Mytilus edulis: one gene and its partners. The protein of the gene in region 2 purifies or fractionates together with the protein of the main gene of each other region. This does not show direct contact. Links are inferred from orthologs where the notes say so. Each region holds a gene or a part of one and is shown on either strand. Other genes may lie near its edges.

The links. Proteins that work in one complex are often made in the same cells at the same time.
Region 1: the proteins of NADH dehydrogenase [ubiquinone] 1 alpha subcomplex assembly factor 4-like (region 2) and NADH-quinone oxidoreductase subunit B 2-like purify together in Homo sapiens (co-immunoprecipitation; 4 studies listed by BioGRID and IntAct, counting the BioPlex papers as one, with this or other methods). This does not show direct contact. The link is inferred for Mytilus edulis from reciprocal best matches to the Homo sapiens genes NDUFAF4 and NDUFS7.
Region 3: the proteins of NADH dehydrogenase [ubiquinone] 1 alpha subcomplex assembly factor 4-like (region 2) and complex I assembly factor ACAD9, mitochondrial-like purify together in Homo sapiens (co-immunoprecipitation; 3 studies listed by BioGRID and IntAct, with this or other methods). This does not show direct contact. The link is inferred for Mytilus edulis from reciprocal best matches to the Homo sapiens genes NDUFAF4 and ACAD9.

The regions. Positions count from the first base shown.
Region 1 is NC_092347.1:29,798,250-29,806,226, forward strand, and holds the start of NADH-quinone oxidoreductase subunit B 2-like, read left to right. Parts: upstream 1-4,890; 5' UTR 4,891-4,944; coding exon 4,945-4,960; intron 4,961-7,526; coding exon 7,527-7,647; intron 7,648-7,977. Other genes in the region: E3 SUMO-protein ligase PIAS2-like, read right to left, coding at 126-193, 960-1,120, 4,858-4,881. UniProt on the Homo sapiens protein: Core subunit of the mitochondrial membrane respiratory chain NADH dehydrogenase (Complex I) which catalyzes electron transfer from NADH through the respiratory chain, using ubiquinone as an electron acceptor. Essential for the catalytic activity of complex I.
Region 2 is NC_092350.1:75,670,016-75,676,537, forward strand, and holds NADH dehydrogenase [ubiquinone] 1 alpha subcomplex assembly factor 4-like, read left to right. Parts: upstream 1-4,892; 5' UTR 4,893-4,997; coding exon 4,998-5,621; 3' UTR 5,622-6,017; downstream 6,018-6,522. UniProt on the Homo sapiens protein: Involved in the assembly of mitochondrial NADH:ubiquinone oxidoreductase complex (complex I). May be involved in cell proliferation and survival of hormone-dependent tumor cells. May be a regulator of breast tumor cell invasion.
Region 3 is NC_092344.1:87,964,948-87,972,249, forward strand, and holds the start of complex I assembly factor ACAD9, mitochondrial-like, read right to left. Parts: upstream 3,088-7,302; 5' UTR 3,024-3,087; coding exon 2,784-3,023; intron 2,077-2,783; coding exon 1,989-2,076; intron 706-1,988; coding exon 604-705; intron 1-603. UniProt on the Homo sapiens protein: As part of the MCIA complex, primarily participates in the assembly of the mitochondrial complex I and therefore plays a role in oxidative phosphorylation.

The sequences.
Region 1 (7,977 bases), on a different chromosome or scaffold from region 2:
TTATGGAATTAAGGCCAACCCCAAAATATGACTCTTTCAATTTTTGTACTGTTATAATTTGTTTTGGGTTATAAGACAACAACATGCTTCTTCCATCACCAATTATACATAGACATAAAACTTACTGCTACTAAACATAGGACCTTCATCAGACTTCCCAGGTGGCTTCCTCCTGTTAGATGAAAAAATTTGACTGCAAAGATAACAAATGATTCTGCTCAAGGATCAGTTAATGTTCTTCTAAATACATATTGGAATTGAACAAATAAGACAACAATTTAACATTACAGCATACTTACATGTACAAATGTATATGGTTTCTTTATAATACTGAGAAATAGAACATTGCCAGTGGTGGTCATGTTATATATTTATATATTTTTCGTTATTTGCAGAGTTCGATGTTTATTGTAGATCTTCAGATTATTTCTGTTAACTGTCATATGTAACTATTTTTAAATTCCTGAGGATTCAGCTTGTACATATTTTACACAAGCACCGGTCTATTGATGATGACTATGTTGCCCACTTGAAGTCTTTTGGTTTGATGAATACTTTTGGGTTGCTGTCTCACTGCCATATATACCCCACACTTTTCGATGAACCCATTTCAATACATATAGTTCATTGTCATCAGATTGTCTATAAAGACTAAAGAAACTCTTGAGGCAGTGAAGATGAAACTGATCAGTAAATATTTTGAATTTCAGCCAATTTTTTTCAGTACAGTATATATATTGTAAGTCATTTTATTCAATAAACATAGTAAAGCTACATGTAAAGTTATTATGATTTCATGAATATTTTACAAATTGTCTAAATATAGAAAAATGCCAGAAACATTCCTACAAACTACCAAATATTAACACCAACACAGGTATAATTTTTTTCTGGCCTATATAATTTGTATGTACATGTACAACTGTATTTCAGACAAATGATAAACAATGTTCACTTACTTGTATAATTCTCTGATTTTTATCTGTATAGGTACTGAGGCACCTTTCTGTACAAGTTGTAGAGCTCTTTGCATGAGCTCTGTTTTTCTTCCTGTTTTATTTCGACCCGCATATCCCAATAAAACTTGTAGTTCAGACACCCTGAAGCTCATAACCATTTGCTAAAAAAAACAACATTAGAGATATGTTACAAACAATACGTTGAGATTTATTCTGGTGATGATAAATCCGGGACTCATTCCTTTTCAGAATTAGGGGAACAATTCTCAAGGCATTAGTGATGAATCTTGTATTTTGAGATAACATGAAGGAGGTTTTTCAAAACATTGATGTTTTATATTTTGAATTGTATCCATCTTGTGATATACCTGAGTGAATTAACAACAGTATCACACATTTATTTGTACTGTCTACATGCAGGGTTTCCGCTGGCGGTCGCCATTTTCGCAATTTGCGAAAAAATAATAATTGTGGCGATTAAAATTCTTCATTGGCGAAAGAATTTGGCGAAAGAAATATATAGAACGAATTATTTTCCTCCATCTTGTTTATGTACTTTTTTCGAGTTTTTCGGACTTTACCTGATCAGACATTACTCAGAATTCACCTTGACCTCATTAAGATTTTGACAGAAAATCAATAATCAGCTGATTGCATTTTATAGTTATCGACAACAAAGGACTAATTAATAAAGGTGTTGATTGAATTGTTTGAAAATAATAATATGGTTAAATGGCTTCCGCTAAATGTCACATACAGAATTTATTTACCACTTTGCGACGCACGTGTTTGAAGCAAACTTTTGGCGTCTCCTCTCCTTTTAAAGATAATTCAGAAAAGAAAACTGTTGTGGTGATGAAAAATGTTCAAAAGCAAGAAAAATCTCCGATATAAAACTTTTATTATCCTTTGACTTTTATATATATAGGTAATTAATTAGAGAGACTACTTTAAAGTCGTTTGAGTGACACACGTGTTTCAAGCATAGTTTTACGTCTCAACTTTTTAATTTACTATGGCCAAGAAAAGAAAACTGTCGTTATGAAGAAATCTATCCAAAAGGTTGGGAACAACCCCTCGAATGAGAGTAATTTTTCAATATAATGACTACACATGAAATGAGGGATCAGTTTCATGTGATAAAAGCTTTTTCTTAGTACCAAAGGGATTATCAGTATTTTTCTGTTAAAAAACTTTCCCTACGAACTATACTGGTATTATATGATCAAAACATGTCCATTAATTTTGTTATATTCCAGGATTTATATTTTCTTTATTATAAAAAAAAGTATAGTGATCCCCTCATTTAGAAAAGTTGTTTAAAAAAAGGTAAATTTTAAACGAAAAATATATTTATGTTACTTGGCGAAAAAAATAATAAAGTGGCGAAAAATATATTGTTTTGGCGAAAGAGGTGGCGAAAAAAAGAATTGACCCAGGGGAAACCCTGTCTACATGTATAGTTGTAAACTTCTGTCATTTCGTTGTCTCATGTAAATCATAGAACATGTACCTCTTCTTATTTTCATATCAATCTACACCAGTTGAAAACTTTATACTTTTAAACAAATGAAGTATGGTAAGTAATTATTGATGATAGCTCCTTCATTTTATATACATGTAGTGAACTGCATACCAATTTACATTGGTCTAACACTTATGGTTCCCCTTGAACTGACCTACAAATGTATATGTAATCACACAAACTAATACATGTAAACCAAGCAAAAGTTTCAAAGTCAATAGACCATAACTGAGGGGACAGAGTCAAATAATCTCAGAGGAAATTAGATGTGCCAATACAACTGCATACCAAATATTATTGACCTACCACAAGAGGTTCACCATAAACTACACCTAATCAATCGAAGAGCAGATTGCTAATCTGCTCTGAGGGATACGATTGCCATTGGCATTGTTTTCATTGATACATGAATACCAGTAGTATTATTTTCAAAAATAATTCAACTGCGCGTGTAAAATGCTCATAAAATGTAATTTACGTAATCTGAATAGTTATTCAACTTTAAAGTTTAAAAATAGCCAATCCTCGATACAAGTGGATGAACAATGTACTTATTGTGTTTTATTTTTGTACTATCAATTCCAAGTTTACTTTCCACAGCAGTCACTGAGAGTGAGAGAAGGTATTTCACTTCGATAGTAAGACTAAGACGAACTTCGTACCTTATCACCTATTTTCCTATTTGAATTCTAGGTGGAACCCCATTCCTAACTCTTTAAATATTTAATTTCCTTTGGGTCAGTGGGCATGACTCCTTTCCGTACACATACCTCTGTTTAAACTGCAATCGGTTTTAATATAATACGACGTCTATTGACAGAACAGGTTAATTTTTTTCGACGTATCGTCGTTCGACGGAAGTTACTTACGGAAGGGAGACAACTCGAAGTGATAATATGGAAGACTGCATTTTGGCTGAAGGGGTGTTCTAGTTTAAACGAGATCTTGAGACTAAAATATGCAAATATTTATACTTTTTTTACCTCCTTATAGAGGATCGATATCTAACATTTAGTAGCCAACCACGATTTTTCACCTCCTTTACAGGAGATCAGTATTAAGCATTTAGTGCCAACCATGATAACAATTGGAAGCTCTCGGACATTTAGATCACTTGCATCCTAAATGAACGAGGTATTAGATTATGCATTCATATTGACCTAGGGTCATTTGCATACATTATCTCCCATAGTCCATTGTGCTTTACTTTTTTCTCGTTGATCACATGACAATCTTTCAAAATGAAAGTTAAAATGCCAGAATTAATGGGTTACTGTCAAAACTGTCTAAATATGAGAAAATTAAAGGTGACAGGTACATTTGTAGGTGAAACTTATTATATAAATAAATAAAGAGATAAATGAAAAACGAACAGATTGATGCCAGATTTGTATAATTCTTAGACCGTTATTCGGCACCAGAAGCGATGAAGCAGTGCATCTATTTTTGGTGGGCAAATATCCACTTTTTGATATGGGACAAGCTCTGACGTCCCACAGCCCGAGTCTGGCAATTCAGCTGTTGGACGTCAGAGTAATCTGGGTCTACATATGCAGTGTTTCATAATTCACAAATCTGTTTATTATACATTGTCATGATTGTAAAAGAGGATTTCCTATAAAAAAAATTATTAAGTATGATCAGAACTACGAACATGCACCAATAACCTTCCAAAGTTAAGCACTAACCTTTTTTTTATACATTTACTATTTTATATATTCAATATTCAAATGTTTAGAAACAAATTTACATACTATGTCCTTTTTCACAGGTAACATTTTCCTCATATTATGTTAAATAGCAAACAAGTTCAGTAACACAACTGTGAAAGTGTAAGTTTTTTTTCAAAATAAGGAAGTCATTAATGCTTAACTTGGAAATTTCCATCTTGAATTTAAAAATTGAGCAAAAATATAAACATATTTTCGGTTTTGTATCAAACTTCCAACATAGTTTATAAATAGAACGACCTTGACACTCCTTGGATCTATTAGCCGTGACGATAAAATGTTCCCGCTTCGTGATTTTAAACATTCAATGTGAAAAAAGTTGTTCGAAAATTTAATATCTGTTCAATGTACATGACCGTTGTTAATAGTTCTGGTTAAACTAACTCTATATTATGGCCGAATTCCCTGGGATATTAAACTATCGACCAAAAACACATTGTTTTCAAATCTAGGTCACTGCTAGTTGACGAGGATGTCAAAAATATCGAAATAAAAGCTTCTTTATGTTGATCTAGAAGGCGAAAATATATATAAATTTAGATTTACAGGAAGGAAAATACATCTATGTATTCGATACAATACTTAAAATAAACTTACTTTCAATAAAATTTATGAATCGATAGAAAAATTGAACGACACTTACCTTGAGCTCTCCAGCGTCCGCCATTTTGTTTAATTTAATGCGCAAGCGCTAAAAAATGTTGACCTCATTTCCGCTAAAAACACAGCAATGGCTGGGAAAAATTGTAGGTTATGAAACTTTAAAGGACAAATTCCTATAAACAGACAACCAGAATTGTTACAGCGTCGCCATTCGGTGCAGACAAAATATTCATTGTCATGCTTTAAGGGCACACATAGATCATCATCTCCCATGCATTAACTTTTATACAGTTGAACGTTTTAACGCGAATTAAAAAAAAAAGGGGGAGATATTTTTGTTTTTTGTTAAGTGTTATTTGCAACAAAAAAGACTTGATTTACTTTTAAGAAACATTTATACTGATTTTACCATGGGTTGGACCTTTATGCTTAATATTTTACCACAAGCTCAATAAATAAAAATATATGACATGGGAGTATAATACACCTTATCGCTATTTGTCCGCCATTGCTGGAAATCACACAAGTTCCCGTAAAATTTTGACGTCATAAAACAAAATATCTGACGCCACAATGGAAAAGTGATTGTTGTTGATGTAAAAAGTTCAAGCGGCCGGGTCAGCCGGGATTAGCGATAAGGTGTATTGACTATTGTAATGATTTTATAGGGTTGTGTATATGTGTTAAAATATCATGGGGACAAAGTCCCCAATTACGGTAGAAAAATCGACAAAAAAAAATAAAAAAAAAATCAGGAAAATTTCCAAAAATTTTCATATTTACTAATGAACTCAAAATCATTAACTTTTTTTTCAGACTTTTTTAAATCCCTGCATTTGCGCAGAAATCTACTTCCTTTTCCGGTCTTGTTGGCATGAGACTTTGAATAATACATATATTTATCAGTTTACTAAAATATAAGAAAGGAACTCAATACCAATTCATTTTTGATAATTGTTTGATATGAAAAAACCGTTACCTGATGACGGCATTTCTTTGTTTACATTAAATATGACGTCATTACTTAAAAAAGGTCACAACTAAAGCCCTAACAACAGAACCAACATCGGAAACGTTACAGTGTTTCCGTTTCTTTTATTAAGATGTTTGAATCAAAAAATATAATTCATACAGACTTCGTCCCTATTAACAGGTAATGCCTGCCTCATATTACCTGAATATAACAGTCTTAGGCTTTAGTCATTTGGTCATCAATCTGGTCGCTCATCCATGTGGGACGTCTGATCAGGATAACATCTAGGCTATTGACTCAAATATAGCATTGGAAATCCCGGAATTCCTTAATTGAAGTAGTTGTCTCGAATAGGGCTCTTCACGGTTAGTTTGGCCATATTGGATAGGGGGCAGATTTTCACAATGGAGGTAAAATTAGTGTGGGAACACATCATTTAAACAGAGCAGTTGCTTAGAAACATGCATAGGATTTCCCATACTTTCATACTATTTCCACCTCTTTCAAAAAAATCTGCCCCCTATCCAATATGGCCGAACTAACCGTGAAGAGCCCTATTGTACATTGGTAATAGTAAACCCAAGTATATGTAGTTCCAAATAAACTGATGTATACCATATTCATACCAGTATGATCAGAACAACCCAACAATATATTTACAAGGGATGTGTACTCAAAGCGTATGAAGAATGTGTACATGTACGTCATATTAGAATACACTTTAACAGTATTTGTCCCCCATGACTGGACATCACAAAAGTTCCTGTAAAATTTGACGTGAGTTTTGCTTAATGTCAGAAGGTTATTTGGAGCAGATATAAAGTCATTTGGAAACAAAAATCAACTAAATACATGTATTATGCTACACAAAGACAACAACATCATAGATTACTGAAAGGAAAATATAATTTTTTTATTATGATCTACATGTTTCGCCACTTAAGGTGGCGTCTTCAAGACAGTTTAAACATAGTAAACAAATACTGAGGTACATAAAATGTGGTGCATATGGCCTAAACATACTTTTATCCTGAATTTGCATTTAATTTGGTGCTGAACAGTAAACAACCATCCATCATCATCCACTCATTAACTTAAAAGAGGGACGAAAGATACCAGAGGGACAGTCAAACTCATCAAATTGAAAATAAACTGACAACGCCATGGCTAAAAATAAAAGGACAAACAGACAACCAATAGTACTAGTTATTAGTACACATTACACAACATAGAAAAACTAAAGAATAAACAACACAACCCCCACCAAAAACTAGGGGTGATCTCAGGTGCTCTGGAAGAGTAAGCAGATCCTGCTCCACATGTGGCACCAGTCGTGTTGCTTATGAGATAACAAATCCGGTAAATAGTCTAATTAGGTAGGTCACATTTATGTAAGGGAAGGGGATTGTAGTTATGACGTAAGGAACATACAAAATGTATCTGATATCATTTGTGAAACGGTTATTCCATAACAGTCTACCAACTGGTGATGGTGTCCATAAAATTTACAAAGAGATGATTTCAACTTCACCATTTGGAACTCTTGATTTAATAGCTTCCTTAACTATTTTCATATCTGTAGTGATGAACACAATCTATATTTACATGGAAAATCTTTGAAATAAGTCAGTTCCACAAATTACTTTAACCTTTTAAACCTAATTCTTTAATAGATCCATAATCCAATTTGCCAACCTCTATTCTTAAATATATATATTAAAAATTTCTATTTTCAGTGTTACTGTTGAAGAGCGGTTTCAATCCAGCACTAAGTCTGTTATTAAGAAGACCAACTCCATTAACAGCAGTATGTAGGTCAGCAGGCTCACAGAAACAGGCAGTTCAAGAAACAAACAGGTATACAAAAAGTTATACCAATAAATTACTGAAATGTTTAAGTGGTAAATTCATTAAAGTTACTCTGAGAGTATGGTACATGTACATTGTGTAGCTAAGATGTTTACAAAAAATGTAACTCTGATAAAGGTGAAAAAATGTATAATCTAAAATATAATATTAAAAATAACTTGGTCCAAAGCAAATAAATGTTATCAAAGGAAAATGGTTATATTCATTTCTGTAAACATGGTCTGGAGAAGAAGAAAGCTCTTAAATGAAAAAAAATGTAGTCCTTGAATGATGTGTAAATAGCTCGAAGGCTTTCTTGGGTATACAGTAATGAGACAG
Region 2 (6,522 bases):
CAGATCCTGCTCTTCATGTGGCACCCGTCATATTGCTGACGTTAGTACAAATCCGGTGATAAGTCCAATTTGGTAGCACTCAATCTTCCTAAGCCTGTTTGCATGGTTATTCCACACAGCCTTTTAAAAATCTCTCTTTTACGCAGAATTCTCCAGACGAAAAAAAAAATGACGTGACAAACGTCTTGAAAAGACAGCGTTTGAAAGGTTCCTCATTTGGTTTAGATACTTAAACATGTGGTAAAACTGATTCCCTGGGATCTCAAATCTTCCCTTTTATTGAAACATACTTCAACTGATCACCAGAGGAACCGTATTAAGGATTGATTACAATATGTGAATATGTGAATACCATCTACGGAAGCTACCATTTGATTTTTAAGGGGGTGGGGGCTAAGATGAAATTTGAAAAGAAACAGAACAGAAGTTTTGAGTTAAAAAAAATGCAGGATGAGATACTTTGCCAAAAAAAGGCAGGATGACAATTCAAATAAAAAAAAGTCGGGATAAACTAATAGATAAAAAAGGACCAAATAGAGTAAAATATAAAAAGGCAGGACAGAGATTAAAACTAAAAACACAAAAAAAGTGCAAGACAAAAATTTTCATCCTAGCCCCAACCCCATTAAAAAAAGGTATGATTCAAGTGCCTTCTTCTTAATCAAAATATCTTAGAATCCCTATTACTACGTTTCACTTAAAAATTTAAATTAAGACTTGATAATTTAAAGGATCGTTGTCCTGTTTCTTTACTTAGGGCAAAAATAAAACGATCAAAACCGCATGCAACGTGTTTAAAAAAAATGTGGATTATTAACACGATATCTGGTTTCTATCCTCAATTGCAGAAGGGCATATCTGTGCAGTGGCGGATCCAGGGAGGTCCGTGGGTTGGACCCCCTTTTTTTGGACGATCAATGCATTTGAATGGGGACATGTAGTTGGAATCCCCCCTTTGTCCTGGGTTAGGACCCCCCTTTTTAAAATGGCTGGATCCGCCCCTGCTGTGTGAATCAGTCATATTTTTTTTCGCCCGCTACAGACCATACACATGAGGTAATTCATTGATTCCGACACAAAATGTTTGTCCCTTTCTAACGTGTCCTCACTTTTCAATTGGGAGGTAAAAATTCTATCCTTTATCCTTATTTTGATATATTTCCTATAGGCAGATTCTTTGACAAAGACGCTTCATTGAGAGTTGGGATAATGATAAGGAGTTATAATATAAGGCTATCATATTCCAATAAATAAAACAAAATAGTATAAATATATATGTATCATTGACTAGAGGTATAGGGGGAGGGTTGAGATATCATATCACAAATATGTTTAACCCTGCCGCATTTTGCGCCTGTCCCAAGTCAGGAGCCTCTGGCCTTTGTTAGTCTTGTATTATTTTAACTTTTAGTTTCTTGTGTACAATTTGGAGTTTAGTATGGCGTTCATTATCACTGAACTAGTATATATTTGTTTAGGGGTCAGCTGAAGGACGTCTCCGGGTGTGGGAATTTTTCGTTGCATTAAAGACCTGTTGGTGACCTTCTGCTGTTGTCTGCTCTATGGTCGAGTTGTTGTCTCTTTGACACATTCCCCATTTCCATTCTCAATTTTATATAGTATAAAAGTGTCTTGAGAAATTTGTTAAAAAATTATATATATGAATGAAAATACATCAGAAAAGTTCAATGAAAAACTATCAACTAAAAAGTAAATATGCAGAAAAAATCAACACATGTATCTTAATTTAAGTTTTCACGCAAGTTTTAGAACGGACCATATTCGGACATAACCATTTTATTCGAATAAATCAAGAAAAGCTCACATATATGTGCATAAGTACAACAATCAAGATAACACAATCTAAATTATCGTATAATAGATTTTTTTTAATAGCAAAATCTAATAATGAGTAATCGTTTTTGTTTAAAGAGGGGCGTAAAGAGGGGTAGAAGGTATCTGCACCAAAGAACGCGAAGTAAAATTGTTATTTCACGATTAACGAACAATTAAAAATGTCCTGCACGTTGATCTTTTTACCGATTTCACGAAACACGGTGAATAACGAACCTTTTCACGGCTGCACGTGAAATAAAAATGGCAAAACACGTTGCACGAAAATAATCCTTTACCACCCTCTTTAAATATTTAACTTCCCTATTTGTCCTTGGAAATACGTTCATTTCATTAATGCATGGGAGTCAATCAATGCAGAAAACATCAATAATATTGCAACATTATCTAATTGAGTGGGTTTTTGTGTGCGTCCAGAAAGTTATAAAACATCATGTTATACTTATTTTCTCAGACTGTCAATAGAAATAAGAAGATGTGGTATGAGTGCCAATGAGACAACTCTCCATCCAAGTCACAATGTGTAAAAAGTCAACAATTATAGATTAAAGTACGGCCTTTAAAACGGAGACTTGGCTCACACCGAACAGCATTGGTGGAAATTGAATAGTATGGGTTAAAATCATCGGATTTATTTTTAAATAAACAAATTTATGAAAACTGGGAAATTTAAAAATATTTATGTTTTAATTAAACACCATTTTTATATTTGAAACATCACAAACATGTTTTTTAATAAGAAAACTGACAATTTCATGATTAAAATGATATAATAGTGTTTTGAGTCAAAAACTAAGATTTCATCATAAAAACATATGAAACCGTCAAATATATATGTCAAATATTATAACTCCATTGTTTTAAACATAACAAAAAGATTGTATACGGAAACAAACATACTTCCTGACCAGAAATTAATATTTTGAGTCAAAAACTAAGAATTCTATCATGAAATCTCGAGACACAGGAAACCAAAATAATTATCAAATATAACACAAATTGAAACTTATCATATATGTAAACATAAATACTGAATCAGTATTGAAAAGCTTGAATGACAAACAAAAGTCACGATATATTTCTTAGTCATAAACTTCCTTTTTTAAAAACATCATGATGTATAAGTATCATTTCCTATCACTTCATAATGCAAATTAAAAAAAGGTTCAAATCCATAGGTACAAAACGCAGTGAGTCCGTCAGCCACCGCCAATTCTTGCATTAACACTGTTGTACAGGACCGTATCTTTTTATGAAATAAAACCATTAAGATAAAAATGTTCATCACCCTACCACAATATTCATCCAAAATGGAGTTCGTGCGTACAGTATGAACAACATATTGACAATTACTATACAAATTGATATTTCACTTGATAATAGTATGCATAAGATATGCATTGAAAATTTAGTCTAAAATCAAGATAAGGTCACGTACAGTTTTGTGTTTTAAGGGGAAGGATGTAAGTTGTTGAGATCGTTACACGCCAAATATCAGCGTTTACAATCTACTTTTTTTCTAAAACTAGGTTACAGTTGAAGACAGAATAAGAGTATATTAAGTAGGATTTTATCGCCAAAGTTTGGTGCTCGACTGCATCGACCCCCTTTTATGCCCTAGTCGAAAATTTGAAATGCTTTGAGACTTTTCAATACTGGGCGTCCGTCCGTTGGTCGTGCCGTCCGTTGGTCCGTCGTACCGGTCTTGTTAGCGCTCTCGTAGGTACAATTCTTTCCAGATTCAGTTTTATAAAACTTGTACTTCAAGTCAATATCAGCAATATCGACTTTCAAAAGAGTTATGCCCCTTGAAAATATTAGCCACGCGATTACAAAAGTTATCATTATACAGTACATATGTTTGACCTCATCTATGTTCTATTTTTAGTCTGGTGATCATGTTGGTTTGGTTAGCAGTGTTATCGGACACATTACAAGGAGAATAATTACCGAATCTTGTTTCAATTATCTCAGGAGAGTTTTTTTTTGTAAAAGTCAACATAGTCAAACAGACGACATTTGCCAACTGATAAGAATAGCTCACATGTCTGTATGGTTTAGTTAAGCTAAAAATGATAAATAGTAAATAGTTATATACTAATTGAAATCTTGAAAAAAAATGGACTAGAAATCATTATCATGACTCCAACACCATAAACAAACCCAAACAACATCCAAAATTATTATATTAGCAAAGTTCCAAAATAAGTTCTAAATGTGTAATCATTCAGCGGCCAATGATAACAATATAACCACAGACCAATTATTAGATACTGATGTACCATGTGTACACAAAAATACTGTTTTTTTTATTAGAAATATAACTGCTATAAAACGTCGTGCGACAGGACAAAATGTGTAACATCATAAAGAAGAAACCCAAAGGCTTGATTTACTCAAAACACTCATGATACAAATCAGTAAAAACGCGGACATGCAGCAACCATTGATCGACAACCACTGAAGTATCCTAACTTTGGATAGCAGTCTGAAAAAAAGATAAAACTATTCGCCCCTATACAAATATCCATGTATTTAAACATCGAAAAAACAATTCAAATATATCAGAATGAATTATAAAAGCACGCCATGCCAAACACAACGTACAACTTCAAGTTGGTATAATTTAAATATAATTTGTTACAATACAATGTTGCTTTTTTTTTTATGGTAATCGGATTTTCAAATATTGAGGGGTGTAAAAGCAATCACACAATCACAAATTGGTTTCCAATAAAATCCCTTACTAGATCATTTTTTTTAAACAAGCCCGTAATCCAGAAAGTTATACAAATATGTTCCTAGATTATCACTCAAGTTGTCTTGAAATTAATATTTGGTCTGGTTATCAAATAATCACTATAAAAACGACAAAGTAATCACATTACCAAAACTCCATGAGTACGGGCATCACTGAAGAGACATTGATTGTTGGAATGCGTATCTGGTACCGTTTATGGGGCTTTATGTTATGAGAGGACGAAGACGAGTGTCTGTTGATTACGATCAATGATAACCAATGAAAATGGGTGTTTCAAATTGGTTAAATGTCATTAACTAGCACGATACGTTGTGTAAGTCAACTTGAAAATATTGGAGTGTACAAATAGAAATATAAATTATTTCTTTTCCCTAGCATTGAGATGGGAAACAGGATAAGTGAACTTCTACCTACTGTATCGAGAAGTTTTAAAAATTACAACATTGAAAATCGATCACACAGGTTTATTCAAAAAGACAAATTACCAGCAGCACCACGACATGACTCCACCGCAGATATACTGGACAAATTCTCGAAAGAACACCCAGAGTTATATGAAGCTCAAAAAGTCAAGGACAATGTGTTAGACGAACGCTTAAAAACATTACAAATAGATTCAACTGGGAAAAATCAAGATATTGTGGCCAAAAAAATGCCTGAAAGTAGAAAGGAAACAGAAGACCCTGAATTCGGATTCGATGAACCTGCTTCAATACCAGAAGGGAAAGTGACTCTTCGAAAAACATTAGAATTTATATTGAATCATCAAAAATACCCTGAAGAATACACGTCCGAACAAGTTGCCAAAGAATATAAGTTGGACCCTGTTCAGGTCAAACATGTGTTAAAACATTTTCAGACTTTTGAATTGCATGTATCTAATGAATTCAAGAAAAGGAATGAAAAAGCTGTGAAATATTTGTCCTCACAAAGACAAGAGCCTACTGTTTATAAGCTTGCTGAGTCGACTGATTTATCAAAAGACAAAAAAACAGCAAACAAATAAATTTCATCCTTGTTCTAGTTATTGTCCGTGAATGAGAATGAACTATCTCTGTTCATGCATTTTGATATTGAAAGAAATAACATGCTTACATATTTCAAACCGGGTTCTCTCGCAGACATTTGTCAGATGCAGATGTTACTTAACATTGACAAAAAATCCAAAACTTGTTTGTTTCTTTTTATTCACGTGATGTGGATGTCACAAAATGAACTTGTGAGATGCATTAGACATCTTTTCTAGCATTTTGATCTTCTACATATGTAACACATACTTTAGTTACCATGGTTACTGAGAGCATGATGTAGTTTTGTTACACATTAGGATATTAAATATTCTAATGTATGTATACACTTTGATTTGTTTTCATTATGTGTTCATAAAAAAATGAAAAATCTTCATGATCTTGTTAGTTTCATTCAATCAATGTACATACAAAAAAAAAAAATCTTAAAAAAATTGACCATTTGGAACAACAATCATCATGTTATCTCTGTGTCAACTTATACTTTATTAACTGACCTTTATAGCCTACATATGTATCGTAACAGTATGTACTTGAGCACTGTCCACCAATGCTTTTTATAGGTCTTTTGACCTGAAGAACCATGTGCAGTAGAGCTATTCTTTATATCACTTGGCATCTGTACATTGTACATGTTCAGTGTTTAACTTTTACCAAACTCTTCTAATCTGAATATGTAGTGTACAATGTAAATTTTTGGTTTAATAGAAGCCAGAATCATCCTTGAATCTTGTTTAAAAGATGGTCTTACATACATTTGTCATGATTTTGTTTGCAAACAAATTTGGTTGCCAAAGCTAGAAATAGAATGTAAGGTAAAACACTTTTAAATGAGCCACCGTTTAGCTTCAAGGGTCATCATAGTCATTGAGCTCGAGG
Region 3 (7,302 bases), on a different chromosome or scaffold from region 2:
CAAAAGCTGCGTGCAAAAATGATTTTTGTGCGCGAATGTATTGGCAATGCCCGCAAATGTAATGGTAATGCGTGCAAACGTACTGCACCGGCATGTGTAAGCAATTTAATTAATTGTTTTGTTTGTATTGCAATTAGTTGATATTTGTTATTTTGATGTCAATTCTACCATCAAATATTTTTTTCTATTTTTGGTGTCCCATTTTTTAAATAATTCTTTTTTATAGTTGCTCTTCTTTTTCTGAAATTGTATTTTTTTTTTTACTTATGTGTTATATTTTGTAAATAAAGTCTTATTAGAGATGAAAAATTGGATATGGATATTTCATATTTTAATGAATAAATAAAGACAAATATCATACTACATGTATCATAACAAATATTTTATTTCTGAATCAGCACTAAATTCAAAGCACAATTTTACATTTGCGTACCAATAGAGATCAATAGAGAAAATGTACATGTTATTAATAATACATGTAGCATACGCTTTGTGTTGAAGACTGTAATTTAACCTATGATGGTTCATATTAATACTTTTACAAATCGTTGTCTCATTGGCACTCATAACACATGTTCTTATATCTAAATAAAGGTTACTTACCATATTCTTCAGGAATTTGTTGACCAAATAACCCTAAATCTTTTAACTGCTGTAAAACATCATCAGGAATTTTAGCTTTTTCATCTATTGTCTTTGAATCAACTACAACAAAGTTGAAAACTTTTCTATCAGTCAGCCAGGGAAATTATACAAGTCATCTTCATTTGCTTGAAAGTGTTAGTAATATTTACTTGTATAGAAAATTTTGGAAGACTTGGATTTAATTTTCAAAGTTTGATCTTTTCCCAAAATTTACTTCCACAAGTACTATTTTTACAACCCCCTTAACATTGTTAAATTTTTAAGTTTTGGGAGGTCAAAACATGCATAGAAAGAGCAGTATGTTGACAGGAAAAATAAACTAACTTTCTTTCTTTTTTATTAGATAGAGACATTTAATTTTTTTAAATATCATGACTACAATTTATTATTATTATCTATCTTATGAACCTCAAAGACTAAAATAAGATAGAACCAGGTGCTCATCAGGGCACAGCTTTATACGAATGCAGAAGTCGATCCCTGAACAGTTGGGGCAAGTATGGACACAACATTCAAGCTTGATACAGCTCTGAATTTGGATTGCGATCAAATTTTTGACATAATATGAGTTTCTGACACAAAACAAATGTCAAGATCTTACAAATCTATTGCGCAATATTGTGCAATTAAAGATTTCTTCTTTTAACTTTTCAAAAATTTGGAATTTTAGAAATTTGAAAAAAAAATTAAAAACAACTACCAGCCCCCTTTTTTTGCAATTAGTCCAAGACCTGACATTTCTTAATACATAATATACAAGTAGTGTAAGGGAGGTAAACCAGAACATACATGTACCCAATATTGTATGTTAAATGTTTTAGAATTACCTCCCTTACACTGCTTTTAAATTGTCTTAATTGTCCATTGAACAGAAATACCTATTTTTTCCCCTTTTTTTGCCCCTAAATCCGAAACATTTTGAGCCATAACCCCTCAAAGTCAATACTAACCATCTCTTCATGGTATGGTAACTTGTGGTTTAATTTCAGAGAGATTCATACACTTAAACATAAGTTATTGTTTGAAAACTACAAAAAATATTATTTTGGGCCCTCTTTTTGGCCCCTAATTCCTAAACTATTGGGACCATAACCCCCAAGATCAATCACAACCTTCCTTTAGTGGTATTTAATTTTCTTGTAAAAATTTAAAGAGATCCATACACTTAAACACAAGTTATTGTCTGTAAACTAGAAAAATGCTTCTTTTTGTCCCTTTTTTGGCCCCTTATTCCTACATATTCGGGAAAACTAACCTCAAACTAAATCTCAGTTTTTTTTGTATTTTTGCGGTTGTATAATTATGGACCAAGGATATTAAACTTGTACAGAATGAATAACTACCTTCATCAAAAAATCTTTCTATAGGCTGCACCAATTGGTTTATATCATCTAACTGTTCTTTCGTAAGTTCAGGGTATATCAGAGCATCCTGAAAATGTCAAAGCATCTACATTGTACATACGAATACTTTGTTTTTGTCTGTGTCACTTAAAATTTATAATTTTACAGGAAATGGTGTTTGAATTTCTGTACAAAATATTTACACTTTATCTGTTAATGTTGACCATGTTGACAACCTTCCCAATAGTTGCTGATTGAACACAGTTATTTTGTAGCACATTTCTTTTAGGCAATAACACGCAATAAATTAAAATCAACAAAATCGCTAGTCCATGGTAAAAATCTCATCAGAATTGTGATTACCCCACAGGTCTAGTGAACATCTGAAATCATCATATTTTCATATTAAAATGTTTAGGATTTTATGTCTTTACATACACATTACACATTATTGCTATTCCAGGCTGACCCAAGAATCTGTCTCGCTTGAACTACTGACGTCATACAACAATCACTTTACCATTGAGGCGTCAGATAAATTCTATTTCTGATGTCAAAATTTCACGGAAACCTGTGTGATATCCAGTAACAGCTCAGAGTAATGGCCGACAATAGCGATTAGGTTCATTGTATGTAGATGTATTATTATTATTGTGGGCAAAAAGCTGTATAGTGCTTATGTAACCTCCACTTATATTTTATAATAACATTTTCTCTTCTATTTGATTGGAAATAGCAGTATTTGGAAGATCATGTAAAGTTGTTGCATCGGCTAATACTTTTTTTCATAATTACCTTATCAAAATTTCCAAGAAATAAATTTTTAACAAATGGATCATTCGTTTTAGGTTTTAATGCTTTCTGGATATACTCTCCACTTTGACTAGTTTGAGTTATTTCTTTATCGTCTAGATCTGCTTTCTGAATAGAACCGCTACTAGCTTTTCTACGTTGTAACCTTACAATGTGCTTGTTAGAAGAAAACAGTTTATCCTTTGAAAAATACCGTAGAGTATAACTTGTTCTCGACCACATATTTCTTAGTTTCAATTTCTATTTTTATACTGGTTCCTCTGTGTATTCAAACCAACCCGGGAACCAGACGAAAGGGTTTGAATAACGGATAGAAATAAACTATATTTATACCAGGATATTAACTTTTATCCTTGATTACGATACTTATTTTTAGTATTAATCACATAATTTATTGATCTAAAATTTAGAATTTTTTTTTGTAGTATCATATTCATAAATAGAATTTTAATAGACAATCTGATAGAGCTTCTATCTTTTACTCAAGCTTTGTGAAAGATATTTTACTTCCTTGTTCAAAATCTGTAGGACAGATAAGGTGTTACTTCAATGTATGTAATATAAACCTTTCATTTTAGATAATGTCTGTATGATATAGATCTTCCTTTATTTCGGAATGCTGTTTTCAGTGATCTTATAATTATAAAACTACAACCCAATAGGCATAAAAGGCAATATATAAATTATTTCTATTTAAAATCCCAAATTATACATAATTTTGTTCATATACAATGTATTAAATATACAAGCTCACATTTACAAAAAATAAAAATAAACTAAAAAAATCTGGAGCAACACATTTTCTCAATGATAATGCTGGATCACAGCCTTTTATCTACAAGGACTCCCTTATAACAAGCAGTTCATAACTTCATTAACATGATCAAGACTCAATATTGTCTTTGTAACGGATCACATCAAAGACATCAAATAAGGCGATAAGTCGAGTATGCGGTCTATATAAGTATCTTTATTCTTCAAAACTACATTGTGTACATATAATTTTGGCTTCATATACTATATCATAACAACCGATTCTCTACAATAAAATACAAATACACGTAAGTTAAAATATAACTTAAAACACTAAAGGCATAATACTAATCAAACAATATGATTCACTTTCTTTCACGCTTCATAAGTAACTTGTTGAATTAAAAAGTTAATTAGAATAAATATTAATTTATAAATACTTTTACAATTCTTAATATTTCTTCTTCAAATAAATATTGTTCTTAAAAATGTACATAAATTATCTCTTACTGATTATGATCTCTCTATAAAATAATGATGTGTCTCCGAATATCAAATAACTTGCAATGAATAAAAAACTAGACAACGTAACGTACGTCAAAAGCGAAACGTCATAAAACTTAAAAACGGGAAATATTATAATGTTCATGAGCAAAACGTTACATATGCGCAAATACCCAAAAATAGTATCTACAAGTATTATAAATAAAATAAATAAATTCAGTAATAATAAATGAAGTAACCCAACAATTTGGAATTACATTTCAAATCTAACAGTCTTGTGAGACTATCAGTTATCTTGTTTGACCCCTAATTTTGCATTTCTTAAGTATATTATACTAAGTTTACTTAGCTTTATGCTAAGTTACAGTAAATGGGCTATGCCACAGATTTTGGTTTGGATCATTGAAAAAAAATTGTGTTTGTAAATTAATTTAGTACATGTAGTAGTTGAACGTAAAATAACAGTTATCACCAAACATTTACCTAAAAGACCAAAAGTATTTAACAAATCAGGACGACATAAAATTATTAAAATATCCTTAGGAAACCATATTTTAGAATGTGTACAGAACTAGTATTAGTACATATACTTGAGAATATTTTTTTTTAGCATCTGGGAACTTTCAAAAGGCAAAGAATAGAACATAATAATAAAAGAATGACAGCTTATTGCAAATTAAGGAAGACCTTTTCAGTGGAAAGCCCAAAATCTATTACTTCATTACATATTTATAACCATTATAATCAGACCTATCTTGTTGTATGGATATGAAATTTGGGGTTATATACCACATAAGAAACAAAAATATATGGATAACTTCATATCAAAAGAAACTGATTATCTTGTTCTAGAGAAAATTCATACTAAGTTTTGTAAGTTTTCTTGGAAGTAATTTAAAAACATCAAATATGGCATGTAGAGTTGAACTAGATTAAGGTAGCACAATACAAAGATTTTTCATCCCCAATCAGACATCTTTAAACTGATGTAATTCCACTCATCTTTCTTTAAATTTTATAAATAAGGTACCAAAAAAAAGAAGAAAGATTAATCTTTCAAATTGTGATAATTTCATTATGACATAATTATTACATAATTAATTGTTATGTAATTAGTTGCCATTCTGTGATGTCCATACTTGAATGAATTTAGCTTCTTTGTTCTTCATAGCATCCTAAATTTTTTTTATAGATTCTTGCACAACACAGTTTGACCTCCAAAACTGTGTCTCAGATTTTTCCTATTGTATTTCATTCTCTCATAAATCTTCAATGAAGTTTGCAACATCAATTCATTAGAGACCACTAAGTTCAATTGGGTATAAAATTTGTTCTATTGATGTTTTTGGAAATCTGAGACACAGTTTTGGAGGTCAAGCTGTGTTGTACAAGAATCTATAAAATATTTTGGGATGCTATGAAAAACAAAGACGCTAAATTCATTCAAGTGTGGACATCACAATATAGCGACTAATTACATAATAATTAATTATGTAATGATTATGTCATAATGAAATTATCACAATTTGAAAGATTAATCTTTCTTCTTTCTTTTGGTACCTCATTTATAAAATATAAAGAAGGATGAAATGAATTACATCAGTTTAAAGTTGTCTGATTGGGAGTGAAAAAATCTTTATATTGTGCTACCTTAACTCCCTACACTTTATTATGTAATTATCAGTATGATAAAATATTGGAATCATCGTATGAAAGAATTGAACCTTCAAATATTATCCTATATGGGAGGCCATAAATTTATCCCATTCTGTGAACAAACCTAACCAGGAATCTTGGATAGGAAACATCAAACATATATTAAATTCTAAGATCATGTAGATTTAGACTTTTCTTTTGTTAACAAGTTTGAAGTACCGTTAAACTTTACAAAAAAACAATATTTAAAAAAGAGTTTAAAAATTCTCTTAAACAATAAAATTTTAAAGAAATTTGGATGCCAATATACAGTAGGGCAATAGATTAAGAACTTAAAGACATTTTTATGTCCCATTTATGGGCATTATGTTTTCTGGTCAGTGCGTCCGTCCGTCTGTTTGTCCGTCCGTTAGTCCCGCTTCAGGTAAAAGTTTTTGGTCGCGGTAGTTTTTGATGAAGTTGAAGTCCAATCAACTTGAAACTTAGTACACATGTTCCCTATGATATGATCTTTCTAATTTTAATGCCAAATCAGAGATTTCCCCCCATTTTCACGGTCCACGTAACATAGAAAATGATAGTGAGGATGGGGCATCCGTGTACTGGGGACACATTCTTGTTTAAATATATTTTATTTTTGAATTTTTATGAGGTAATCATGTGACCTTATGATATAACCATATTGGAGGTTTAGCATTGGGTAAAGGGTGTTTTAATAATCTAAGAAGTATAATAAGCCAAATATCAAGACTACATGACAACCATGAAATACTATTTTAAGACTTGATATTTAGGTATATCATAAGCCAAACATCAAGACTAAATGACTACAATGTACTTCTTAGATTATTAAAACATTGAAATCGGCTGTAATTCAATGAAATAGTTTTGGTTGCTGTTTTCGATTAGTCATTCAGTAACCTCCGTTTCATGTACAAGTTTATATTGACGGAAAGGCCCAACTTCGCTAGTACAGGAATTAGTTCCATTATGACAGCTATAACATGAGTAGCAGGACAAGTCGCCAACTAAACTGTGAAATTTGTCGCCTCTATCAGCAATAAATCGCTAAAAGCTAAAAAGATTTATAAAATAGCCAAATTTAATCTGTGTGGATTCTATGTTCCGAGTCAGTCAACATGCACCATTTTTTTTTTCGACAGCCTTCAATATCTTGCTCCAAATTTCACCACCCGATTTGTTTAATTATCAGGAGCATTTCATTGAAACTAATTAAGCACATGTAACGGTGGTAATAAGCGTTTTTTCAGATTATTTGACGTTTTGATACGTTTGGAAAAAATGACTACCGTTTTGCAATGTTTCGTAGCATTTTATTCCTTTAAGACCCACACATGTAGTTAATAAAGAAAAGAATCTAGGCATTTTGTACTTTCTGTGTATCTAACTTTTGTTTTGATAATTATAAATTACTTATTGAAATATAAAGTAAACCAGGTGCTCCGCAGGGCGCAGCTTTATACGACCGCAGAGGTCGATCCCTGAACAGTTGGGGCAGGTATGGACAAAACATTTATGCGTGATACAGCTCTGAATTTGGATTTTGATCAAATTTTTGACGACGCAG